3 linked regions of the Coturnix japonica genome follow. The protein of the gene in region 1 interacts with the protein of each later gene in a biochemical or structural test. Links are inferred from orthologs where the notes say so. Each region holds a gene or a part of one and is shown in the gene's direction. Other genes may lie near its edges.

What was found. The genes of interacting proteins can lie anywhere in the genome.
Region 2: the proteins of UBE2I (region 1) and small ubiquitin-related modifier 3 form a complex in vitro, tested with the Homo sapiens proteins (2 studies listed by BioGRID, with this or other methods). The link is inferred for Coturnix japonica from reciprocal best matches to the Homo sapiens genes UBE2I and SUMO3.
Region 3: of the proteins of UBE2I (region 1) and NOP58, one has a biochemical effect on the other in vitro, tested with the Homo sapiens proteins (2 studies listed by BioGRID). The link is inferred for Coturnix japonica from reciprocal best matches to the Homo sapiens genes UBE2I and NOP58.

The regions. Positions count from the first base shown.
Region 1 is NC_029529.1:7,278,757-7,282,871, forward strand, and holds the start of UBE2I (SUMO-conjugating enzyme UBC9), read left to right. Parts: upstream 1-1,315; 5' UTR 1,316-1,431; intron 1,432-1,624; exon of another isoform or gene 1,625-1,758; intron 1,759-2,152; exon of another isoform or gene 2,153-2,430; intron 2,431-4,115. UniProt on the Homo sapiens protein: Accepts the ubiquitin-like proteins SUMO1, SUMO2, SUMO3, SUMO4 and SUMO1P1/SUMO5 from the UBLE1A-UBLE1B E1 complex and catalyzes their covalent attachment to other proteins with the help of an E3 ligase such as RANBP2, CBX4 and ZNF451.
Region 2 is NC_029524.1:3,984,174-3,988,030, forward strand, and holds small ubiquitin-related modifier 3, read left to right. Parts: upstream 1-1,212; 5' UTR 1,213-1,334; coding exon 1,335-1,355; intron 1,356-1,481; coding exon 1,482-1,610; intron 1,611-2,185; coding exon 2,186-2,257; intron 2,258-2,680; coding exon 2,681-2,743; 3' UTR 2,744-3,357; downstream 3,358-3,857. Other genes in the region: PTTG1IP (pituitary tumor-transforming gene 1 protein-interacting protein), read left to right, coding at 294-337; UBE2G2 (ubiquitin-conjugating enzyme E2 G2), read left to right, coding at 3,582-3,624. UniProt on the Homo sapiens protein: Ubiquitin-like protein which can be covalently attached to target lysines either as a monomer or as a lysine-linked polymer. Does not seem to be involved in protein degradation and may function as an antagonist of ubiquitin in the degradation process.
Region 3 is NC_029522.1:10,249,820-10,254,028, forward strand, and holds the start of NOP58 (nucleolar protein 58), read left to right. Parts: upstream 1-1,409; 5' UTR 1,410-1,542; coding exon 1,543-1,587; intron 1,588-4,209. UniProt on the Homo sapiens protein: Required for the biogenesis of box C/D snoRNAs such as U3, U8 and U14 snoRNAs. Part of the small subunit (SSU) processome, first precursor of the small eukaryotic ribosomal subunit.

The DNA.
Region 1 (4,115 bases):
ATACAGTCACTGATCATTATAGCAGGAAATTGTCCCTTCTGGGATGGGTATATAACCAAGAAGAGTGTCAAGTTTTAATTAATGACTTTGTGTATATTTTCTTTCATTCACGGAGCTAACAAATCAACCTGCCTAACCTCACTGATTACTTTTTGAATCCAGTATGTAGATTTTTAATAGAAATACTTATATCTGAAAAATGAATCTGAAAGTGACACTTTGTAATAAGAAATGTAAATAAGCCAATTAATGAATTCTGGAATCTTAGGGGGGTACACCATTAAGAATGAGGTGAATTTCATCTTAATAGTTTTAATCAGTTTTAAATGCAAAGCATGTTTAAAGTTTTCCTTACATCTTCCATTAGTGATGGTCAGGATGCTTTCTGTACACAGCTCTTCTCCATCTCTCCTCCAGCATTTACTAGTTAAAAGGAATACAGTAACTAATGCCATAAGTATTTGTGCGTTAGGGTGAGAGAAGAAAGTTGGGCAGGAGGGCCCACAGAAAGAGAGACATCCTATTTTGCATCATTGTGCTGTGCAGTGGGGTAAAGCATGTATAGGAAAAGGAGATATTCATTCCAAGGGAAGACAATTCCTCTTGAATGAGAGAAGCTCAATGAAGATGGGGTGAGAATACGACAAGTGTTTTGAGGATCTGGTTTGTTTCTATTTTCTGAGACCAACCTGGGGAAGGTTCCTCCATCGTTTCTGTGGAGTTAAACCGAGATTAAATTGAAATGTGAGCGTGGATTGTTTAGAGAATAAATAAATCAAACCAGGGAAGGAGCTGCCGGAGCACTGGGCTCACCCTCCTGGTTAAACACGGGAGTGGCTGCACATTAGAACCCTCATTTAAGCTGCCTTTAAACCCTCAGCCCATGAAGGCTCCGCACCCATCCCTGCATCGCCGCCATAGTGTCTTTATCAGTAGAATTTGATAATTCCTGCCCTTGGTTTTTCACACAGAGCTTTGGCCTGATGACACCTTGCTTTGTGCTGTGTTATGGGTACTGACAGGAGATCATTGTTGTCCCATCAATATATAAGTGCTTATTTATGGCAATGCCTAATGATGGCAGAATGGAGGGGAAGATAAGCCATGGTTGGTATTAAGGCGCTATATACGGTGCAGTTCAATGGACAGACCATGGCCGGATGCTGCTCAGAGGTTTAAAGACCCGACATGTTTCGTTACATTAAACGTGAATGTTCCAAACAAACCCACAGCGACACGAACCCCCTGCAGGCGGGATGGCCCCGCCCCCTCCTGGCTCTGCCCAATGACAGCTCAGGGTCGACTCCCCATCCTCCAATCAGAGACGCGGGTGGTGGCGGTGGGCGGGTCCTATCGAGCTGAGGCGCAGTGGCCGGCCCCGCCGTGTTCTCGGGCCGGTTGTCGGGCACGGCTGACTCCACAGCGCCTGAGGTAAAAGTTCCGCCCGTGTTTCCGTGGCGGCTCGTCGTTGTGCCGGGCCGTGCTCGGATCCGCTCCGCCTCGTGTCGTTCCCCGCTCAGGCGCTGTCGGGCCGCCCGCAGGTCCTGCCGAACCGCGCCTGCGCAGCGGGACGGACGGGTCGGGCCGAGGGACACACGGCGATAAAGCGAACGGCACCGAGAGAGGGAGGGGGAGAGAGGAAGGGAGAGGGAGGGAAACTCCGGAGCAGAGACAAAGGGGGGGAGCGGAGCCGGGAACATCCGGGTCATTCGCCGCTGCCTCAATCCGGGACACACGCGGGTGCTGCGGCCGAGCACGGTGAGGCCTGGCCGGGAGCGGGGCCTGGGGCGGCGGGGCCCGGCCCGGTGCGGCCCGGCCCGGTGCGGCCTGGTCCGGTGCCTCGCGTTGCGGCGGTTCGCGGGCACGGCGGTTCCCGGCGGTTCCCGGTCGGCGCGGCCGGGCCTGACGGCGTCTGGCTGCCCAACTCGGGACGGCTCCGCTCTGTCCCTGCGCCGCGGCCCGCTCAGCTCTCGGCCGCCTACGGGGCGCACTCGGCGGCTGAGCTGCGTGCGCCGACCGGCTGCGCCCAGCGCTCCCCGCCCCGCCAATAGCTCGCCCGGCACACACAGGCCTCGGCCGCTCCGCGGGGCTCGCGAGACCAACGGCGGCGGCGGCGGCCGGGACAGCGCTGCGCCGCTCCGTGCTGGGCCGCCCCGCGGTTCCTTTTGTTGTTCTCGGAACTACCGTGCGGGTCGGTGCCGCCTGAGCCGCTTATTGCGCTGCAGACTTTGTGCGGCAGTTTTAGGCGCTGCGATTTGGTTCCACCTCAACCATTGAGTTTCTCTGACTGGAAAGGAAAGGAAAGGAAAGGAAAGGAAAGGAAAGGAAAGGAAAGGAAAGGAAAGGAAAGGAAAGGAAAGGAAAGGAAAGCTGCCCCGGCAAACAGCGCAGGTTTAACGATCCTTACAGCGTCTGCTTCTGATTCGTAATGTAATCGGTCTTAACGATTTGATTCATGTATTGATTTTTGAATGAATGGAGAATGAAGGAGCACGTTGTGTATATACAGATTTGTAATGGGGCAGGGATGCAGGCGCGGTGATCACTGTGCTATGGGAGCACTGTGCTGTGCTGGGGCTGCTGGATGGATGGCACAGCAGTGTGGGCTGGGTTTGGTCCCAGTGCAGGTAGTGCCAGCAACAGAGCTGAGCTACCAGCACTCTGGGAAGTTTCTAGTGAGTTGGTAGTGATAAATGGGCCGTTGGTACCTCCTGGTGCTGGTGTGTGCAGGAGGGAATAGTGCTAAATTGAATGGGAGGACAGAGATGGATTTTCTCCAGCTTAGAACTTGGTGTTCTTTCTAATGATGGACCTCTCCCATACAGTAAGTTGGGACTTAATTGTGTTCATTCAGTCACCTTCTCAGGTGAGGGAAGGAAAGTCAATGGGATGCAATATCTGAAACAAGTGTAAAAAAAAAATCCATAAACCAAGTGTTTAAAATCTGTTCCGTGGTGGCCGTTGTTCACCCTCCTGGAGTCACATGGGAGAACTGTGCAACTTTGAGATCAAAAACCTGTAGGAAAACTGCACCTCCCTCCCCCCAAAAAAATCTGGATTTCTGGTAAGGTGAAAATGAAGTTTGGATAGGGTTGGTTTGCTGGCTCAGTGCAGTCAGTCCATCTGCTGCACTCTGCCTGAAGATGATAATTGCAGTTATTTAAGTCCTGCCTGAGACATTGGAACCGGAGTCTTGCAGAAGAGGGAGAGCAAATACAGGCATTAGTTCAAGCTCAGACGGGGCTGAGCTGTTCTGTCCCAGTTGTGTTCAACATTACTAAATAATGAGGTGAAGTTTGACTATTGCTTGACATAATGAAAAACAAAAGTTCAAACCAAGAGCCACTAAACTTCATGTAGTTGTGGTAAGTTAAAAGTATCAGCTAATGATCAGCTAATGATTACTAATACATAAAACAGTGTAATAGAACTGATTTCTTCAAGGTGTTTAGGAGTCTCACTCTGGTTAGATGTGCCAGAAGTGACTGCTGTTAAATCCCTGGCAAGTATCAGTGTTTATCGGATTTCCATTACGTGGCCTTAATATTCAGGGGACTGGAATGGCAAATATTAAGTAGACTAAATATACGTACCTGGCAGCTAATTTGAGAATACAAATGCTTATCTCTTGGTCAGGGCTATCTTGATATCTCCTTGTTAATCATGATTGTAAAGTGTTCGGATTTGGTCTCCAGGTGCTAAAAGCACAGCTGAAATTCTGTCACATGTTCGTTGGTTAATTAAAATCTCTAGGAGGGGTGTGAGCTCATGGAATAAAATTCCTCCCCTTATAGTTTTGTTCTGGTTTCTCTTGGGATGCTCTGCTTCTCTTGCTGGACAGTTGGCTGAAAGCTGAAGTGTTATCTATGGTTCTGGTGTGAAGTCCTGCAAGTGTTCTTACATAACCAGGACACTGGTGTATGTATTGGGAACATGAGAATGAGTGCAGGCTTCTTTTGTGTGTGTTTACTGCACAGAGCATTAATGGTGCCTTCTAAAAAGCTTTAACTCTAGTTACGTTCTAGCAGGGATTGTACTATTGAAATGATGGACTGTGGATGTGCAGGCTGATCTGACTTAGGGAAAAAGAAGGGAGAGGAGAGAAGGAAGAAGGG
Region 2 (3,857 bases), on another chromosome or scaffold:
GTGTTCCTCAGTGTGACCATCCCAGTTCCCTCAGCTGCTCCCCATCACACTTTATGCCCCAGACCCCTCAGCTCTGCTGGACACACATCCTCCTTGTAGTGAAGGGTCCAGGACTGAACACAGAGCTTGATGTATATCCCATGAGGGGTAGGAGTTGAGGTGGTGTGGGCGCATCCTTCCATGAGGACAATAGTACAATAGTCTCTAGAGCAGGATGGTGAGCAGAGGATGGTTAGTGAAAGAATTGTCACCCAGAGCAATGAGTGACTCTCAGTGTCTCTCTTTTCTTCCAGGCCTGTTCAAGGAGGAGAACCCTTATGCAAAATTTGAGAACTAGCCTCTCTGGATCTGCCCCACCTGGTGAATGGCGTCCTCCTTCTAGACCCACCTCACTCTGGGTTGCTTTCTAGGAGCCCCCTATGGTGCCACATGCTGCCACAAGCCCTGCTCAGTGACTCCCCCCATTCCCCACTCCAGTTCTCAGCTTGCCCTGGGCTTTTGCTGCAGAGGCTGTGCCAGGATCAGCTGCAGTGCCAGGATCAGCTGCAGTGCCTGGCCGGGCTGGAACCTCACTCTGTGCCTGGAAACTTGGTGGCAATAACACTGGGGCTTCACACTCCTCCTTTACTCACCTGGGGGTGGCAGCACAGCACAATACAACACGGTGCCTGGCTGAGGTGGCCTAGTGTGTCTTCCTTCTGCCTTATGCAAAGCTGGGTGCGTGCATTGTGATGCTCATGTCCCTGTGTGCAGCAGTGGCTCAGGGGTGCCCTGTCTGCCTGCAGCTCTATGCATACACTCACACACCAGCACCAGTTTCTCGCTGCCTTGGGCCTTTGGGGGCAGGCCCTAAATGCACGCTTCACTTGCAACTAATCCAGGGACCCTCCACAGCCCCCTCTACCTCTGTGCCTTATATTGATCATCTCCTGGGCTCGGTGCCTGTTACTGATTGCAATACGGTAGGGTTCTGATGCGATGTGGTCAAGATGTATTAAATCGATTTGATTACTATCCCAACGTGAGCGCTTTATTCTGAAGGGCAGGAGCCGGTGCTGCGCTCGGTGCAGTTCTCTGGCCGCCCGCTGGGGGGCGCTATAGCCGTACTGGGCCGTATCCAGTGACGCACTTTCTAGAGCCGCCGCGCCGCGCGCTGTCGCTCACCCTCCTCCTTCCCACGTGATCAGCCGTGCGGCCAATCAGAACGCGGGATTGCTGGCGCGGGGTGGCGGGGGCGCGGCTCGGCGCGCGCTCTCGCGGTCGGTGGTTGTTGGCGGCGGGAGCAGCGCGGGACGGGCCCGAACCGAACCCAACCCCGGGCCCGACCCTCCGCCATGTCGGAGGAGAAGCCCAAGGTGAGCAGGGCTGGGGCTCTGCGGGCACGGGGCGGGCCGTAGGATGAGCTATGGGGGGATAAGGGGGGGAGGGTCGGGCCTGGCACTGCGATGATCGCCGCTCTCGTCCGGTTTGTCCCCCCTCAGGAAGGAGTGAAGACAGAGAACGACCACATCAACCTGAAGGTGGCCGGGCAGGACGGCTCCGTCGTGCAGTTCAAGATCAAGCGGCACACGCCTCTCAGCAAGCTGATGAAGGCCTACTGCGAGCGGCAGGTGTGTGTACAACGGGGCCACAGCCAGCACTGAGTGCGGGCAGCGCTGTGTGTGTGTGCTGCTGCACGTGGAGCCCTTCCTCTGCTTCCACACTCCTAAAGCTCTGCCCCATCCCTGCACCTGACCTTACCTGGACCTGAGCAAGGCCTTTAACATGGTCCCCCATCACATCCTCATCTCCAAATTGGAGGGAGGTGGATTTGATGGGTGGACAACTAGATGGATAAGCAATTGGTTGAAAGGCCGCAGACAGAGGGTGGTGGTCAATGGCTCTATGTCCAGGTGGAGGCCGGTAACGAGCGGCATCCCCCAGGGATCTGTCCTGAGACCGGTTTTCTTTAACATCTCTATCAATGACATCTACGATGGAATGGAGTGCGCCCTCACTGCCACAGCATCCATCCGGCAGCTCTGCACCCTCCTGTACAGCAACAGAGGCATGAAGTTCCCCATCTGCTTATATTACATGTTAATTTAGTTAATATGCGTCCCGGCACTAAATCAGTCAGTGCTTTGTTTGGATTCAGACGTGTCTCGGTTTGGTTCCTCACATGTGTCACTCTGTATATTGGCAGGGTTTGTCCATGAGGCAGATCAGATTCAGATTCGACGGGCAGCCGATTAATGAAGCAGACACACCTGCACAGGTATGAAAGGTGCTTTTAGTGCAGATCATTTTGTGCTTCTTCTTCAGTCTCTTCCATATGTGTTTTATGCTGGCTGGGGTGGGAGATGTGCATGAACAGATGGTGCCAAACACACTGGCACCTGTGTGCTGCTGTGGGCAGGACCTGGAGGGAGTGCTGAGCTCTTCAGCTCTGTCCCATGTCTGGATACAGCCAGGACTAAAGCTGGGTGCTGTAGCTGCTGCCAGCTCAGTCAGCGCTCAGAATTTAAGGGTTTTCTTGCATTGACGAGGCCTGAGGTGAGGAACAGAAGAAACACATCTGAGTTGGTTGCTTTTAGATGGCTGGGTTCTGAGTCTGCTTTGAAATAGAGATCTCAAAACCTGTGTAACTCTATTATAAGTTTATGGTTGTGAACTCGTGTTCTCCGTATCACCCTCACAGCTGGAGATGGAAGACGAAGACACTATCGATGTGTTCCAGCAGCAGACGGGCGGGCTGTGCTAAGACATGGCATCCTTTGGAGCACAGAGGCTCCTCATCGCACCTCGCTCTCATCTGTCCTTGGATTTGCTATCAAATAGTGAACAAATGAACACGCCGATCACACGGGATTCTCGGAAACCTTAGAGGACATTTACCCAAAATCGCTTGTTGTCTTTGACGTACTGCGTGTGCAAGTCGACACAGTATCTGCAGGGATTCATCTCTTATCTTTAATTGGGCCCAGTTGATTTTTGAGTTCCGATTCAGTGCTACACGTTGTCTGTCTGTCTGCTGTTTCCTGGTTTATTCCCTTTCAAACCTGTGGCCTAAATAACCCTGTCCGTGTTTGAGGACATGGAGTGCATTCCTGGCTGTCAGCCCTGCCCCTCTGTTCCATCCTACCCTTGTAAATAAGTCTATTTTCATGCCGATCTCAAGCTTAATGAGTCTCATTGTTTTAAAAGAGGAGGAAGAAGACGCTGATTGAAGTCGCTGGGAAACGTGAAGCCCACGACACGAGGTCTGTACGTGCGAGACGCAATGCTCCGTATAGACAGTTTGGAAGATTGCAGATTGACATGTGCTTTGTCATGATTTGATAAAGTTGTCTGAAATATACTTTTTTAATGCACAAACGAGAAGTGTCCTGAATGGAAGGGGGGGGGTGGGGTGAGCAGAGCAGCTGGGCTGAGAGGGCCCGCCCACAACTCGCTGGTGCTACTGCGCATGCGCTGGGAGGACTCAGCCCCCCCCCCCCCCCCTTTACCATAGAGGCGGAGTGCTAGCGCGCCCCCTATCTACTTCCTCCCCTCCAGCCCGCCCGGAAGCGGCGCGGGGCCGGGGCGCTGCGGGCCGCGCTATGGCGGGTACGGCGTTAAAGAGGCTGATGGCCGAGTATAAACGTGAGTAGCGGGGCGGGGCTGGGGACTATGGGGACGGCTGGGTGTGGGGCTGAGCGTGTTTGGGGTGGGGGTGGGGGGGCTCGGCCCAGAGCACAGGAGCTGAGCGGAGGCCTCGTGGCAGCTGCAGCTCATAGGGAGCAGATGGGCAGCGCTGAGCTCAGCTCGGTGTGACAGCGACAGGGCCCGAGGGAACGGCATGGAGCTGTGCTGGGGAGGGGGCACCGACAGGGTGT
Region 3 (4,209 bases), on another chromosome or scaffold:
CAGGGCGGCATGGCCGCTGGGGGCAGCGCGGCAGTGCGGTAACGATCCCAACCCCCAACCAGTCGGCTTCAAAACAACGCACGGTACCAACAACGGGACAGACCTCACCCCATTCGCTGTTGGTACTCACAGACAGACACAGCTGTAGCCATGTGCCGGTGTGGCTCTAGCATAAAGCCTGTGTGTGATTCTTAACAACGTTTCCTACGCAGTTTGCAGTTAAAGCGCACGCTCGCTCGAGCCAGAACTCAGCTGCCTTCCCCCATAGAGAACAAAGGCGCGGCTCTGACATGTGCACGGTCGCACAACACGCCGACTCGCCGCTCCGCCTCGTTAAGGAAGTCACAGCCCCGGGGCACGAGGAGCGTTAGCGCTGCGGAGCTGATCCGACCGACCCGCGAGAAAGGAACGCAAAGACCAAGCCCAGGCTTCTCTCCTTTAACTGCATAAACCCTATATCCCATATATTTGCAGTTAAACCACATTAATGCTGCTTTAAAGAAAAACGGAGCACACACACGTAAGGCTCTTATCAGAACACTCAAAGCCATCGCTGCTGCAACCACCTGGGAATTAAGCGAGGCTATTATGGGAAGTATTGCTCCTGCTCTGATTTTCTCCCTGCAACTAATCTCAGTCACTTGGAGTCCCTTCCATTAGCTCAGGCTGAGGTGCGGCTCTACTCGAGGCCATGGATGCAGCTGAGCAGGGAAGGGCCGCAGCATTCCCTCACAATCTGTGGCCCATCTCCTCTGCATAACACCTCTTTCACCAACCAAACACAGGCTCTTGAACATCAGATACAGCCACTTGGCTCCTAACACAGGCTCCTGAACAGCCAGTTGGCTCCTAGTGCTGGCACAGCTGCTCGGGAGCAAAAAGGATGAACATAACACTCTAAGCTCCAGCCTGGGCTGTCAGCACTGAAACAGGGCTTTGAAAGTAGGTGTGTGAACCTGCCTGACCTTCTGCACTGAGCACTGCTTGTTCAGTGACGCTATTAAATGCTCATTATAACACCGAAAACAACCAACTCCCACGGCCATAACGCGAATAACCCCGTTATCGCAGCGCTGCTTCCCCCGCAGCCCCACACGCTGCAGGCCGGACACACGGCGCTGCCTCGTGGCCACCAACCGCGGCCCAGCACCGCCCCCAGCCGGCGGGCAGCGCACGGAGCGAGCCCAACAAAATGGGGGCTGCGCTCAGCACACGGTCACAGCCCATAAGGCCGCTATACGCAAACAGGAGCTCGTAGAGCACAGCTACGAGGCACAGCGCGGTGGAACCTTTAGGGAACCGCCCCGTTACCGGCCGTGCCCAGGGCACACAGTGTCACAGCCGGCAGCCCCGGCCGCGCTCACTGCGCCACGTGGCCTGCGGGAGCGCGCGGAACTGGCTGCCCAGCATTTCCCCTTCCGGTGAGGTCACTTCCGCTGCGCCCACTCTAGTTCATGGGCGGGGTGGGCGCCGTGGGTCCGCGCACGTGGCCGTGCTGCTGCCGCCGCTCCCGGTTGTCCCCGGCCCTTCTTGGCTGCCGCCATGTTGGTGCTGTTTGAGACCGCTGCCGGCTACGCCATCTTCAAGGTGAGGTGTGGAGGTGGTGAGGAGGCCGCGCCCCGCTCCCGGTTGGGGTTTGGTGGGCGCTGTGGATGCGGCCTGTACGGCCTGGTGAGGGGCCGTGTCTGTTACGAGTCCTGTGGGTTCTGACCCACGGAACCGGGCGGGAGCTGGGCACAGAGGCCGGTACCCAATGGAGTGAATGGCTGCTTTGTGTGCAGGTTGTATGGGGGAAACGGGGGGTGTCTCTCTGGAGCCCTGGGCAGTGGCCCATCGTAGTGCTGCTGATGTACAGCTGGTCTTTTATTAAGAGAAATTTTATGTTCTCGTATAAGAAGGAGTGAGCCAGATTCTTCACTATATCGTTCCCCTATGAGGACAGGCTGAGGGAGTTGGGTTTGTTCAGCCTGGAGAAGAGAAGGTTGCGGGGTGACCTCATTGCAGCCTTTCAATACCTGAAGGGAGCTTAATCCCAGGAGGGGAGTAAACTCTTGGAAAGGGCTGACAGTAGCAGGATACGGGGAAATGGTTTTAAGTTAAAAGAGGGAGGATTTAGGTTGGATGTTAGGGGGAAGTTCTTTACTAGGAGAGTGGTTAGGCCCTGGAACAGGCTGCCCAGGGAGGTTGTGGATGCCCCGTCCTTGGAGGTGTTCAAGGCCAGGTTGGACGGGGCCCTGGGCAACCTGATCTAGTAAATGTGTATGTTTGGTGGCCCTGCCAGGCAGGGGGGCTGGAACTACATGATCCTTGAGGTCCCTTCCAACCTGGGTCATTCTTTGACGGTGTTTTCGTATAGCAGTGCTGTGTGTCGAGCCCAGCTCACCCAGGTGGTGGGATGTGGGGTTTGTGCCGCTCTGCACCTGGCTGTGTAACCTCACTTCAAGCACTGCGTGCAGGTTTGGGCACCGCAGTGTAAGAAAGATATGAAGCTATTGAAGAGCAGCCATAAAAAGGCAGCAGAAACGGGGAGGGCACTGAGGGCAACGTGTGTGAGTTGTGGCTGAGGTCCCTTGGGTTGCTCAGAGCGGAGGAGCTGAGGGGAGGCTCGTGGTGGCTGCAGCTCCTCTAAGGGGCGGTGCTGAGCTGTGCTCCCTGTGACACTGAGGAGCTGTGCCAGGGGAGGGGCAGCTGGGGTGCAGGGAAAGGTTGTGCACCAGAGAGTGGTGGGCATGGAATGGGCCCAGCGCAGTGGGTACGGTCCTGAGTGCTGGACCTCGAGATGCGTTTGGGCTGTGTGTGCGGGAAGTGGGTTTGACTTCTGACCCTTCATGGAGCTAGGAGTTGAATTCAGTGATTCTTTGGGGTTCCTTCCAACTCAGGAGATTCGATGGTTCTATTCTGTAATTGTGCAGGAGTCAAGAGGGGCTGTAAACAGCCCGTATTTAAACCACTGAAACTGAGGTTGGCATATGAAAAAAGTTGGTATATAAATAGAGGCATGAGAAGAGGCACTGAACTGAAGAGACTCCTCTACAGAAGTGCTGCTGATGTCAGCAGCTGCGTGCTGGGCCCGGCTGTGGTGTCTGTGCCAGGCAGCAGGGGGCACCAGGCAGCAAGCAGCAGCGTTCCCTTGCAGGCATTAAGCATACTCTGGGAGAGCAAACTGCATTTGATATCTGGGTTGGATGCAAGAGAACTGGAAGCTGTCTGCTGGAACTGAGCATTAGTAACATTTCATTAAGATATGTGTTTGGACACATGTTTTGGTTTTCCACACTTGTTCTGTTTGCAGCTGCCAGGAAGACCTGCGCATGTTGTGTGTCTGCAGGACTGGGAGAGCTTTTCTATCCTCCATACAGTAGCTGCAAATTTATGTGATCACTACATCTGTATGTTAGTTCTGTATCAAAGTATTCACCATGGTGTTATGCTTTTTTTAAGACAGTGTCTTAATGTGTCTTAATGTGGTCACAATTTAGTTTGTTCTTCAGTTCCTTGAGAACTGAAGAGAATTTACATTTCAGAACTCTTAGAAACAGTTGTCACCCACTTTCCTTTCCAGCAGGGCTCACAAGCTGTCTGTAGGCAGAATAACTGTGCTCTGCCATTATGCTTTGGTAAACAGGATCATCTTTCTCTACAAGCTGGGTAGCCCTTCAGTGGTCTCCTGTTGGTATTGCTCCTGTCAGAGGAGTGAAGAGTGTGTATGACTTGGGGGTAAATAGAATAACAGTGTTCTGGTTCTTGGAAGTCCATTATATCTTAGTGTCCGCTGAGACACAAAATTTCCATAGGCAGCCATAGTTTCTATATATTAGCAACCTTGATTTATCAGTTTGTATACTTGTGTTTTTCTCGATATCTGTTTATAGAGCCAGAATTCTCTGAGCTTCAGGGCAGGAAGAACTAATCCTGTCTGTATCAAAGATGAATCCACTGCGAAGCAAAGAATCAACAGGCTGGGGAGATGTGCCCAAAGGTTGTCTTGTGCCCCAGAGCCCTGTGGGAAATGAGTCATCATGTTTATTTGCTCAGCAATAATTTAATTTAAACAAAAAGAAAGAGCTTCCTTTGGCCTAGGTTTAAAAATCTGCAAGGGCGCAAGAGCTGTTTTTGCAGGGCACCAAGTTGAATTGTAGTTGTGCTGGGGCTTGTCACAACTTAAATCCAACATTTTTACTGAGGTGTGAAGAACTTAACATTGTAAGG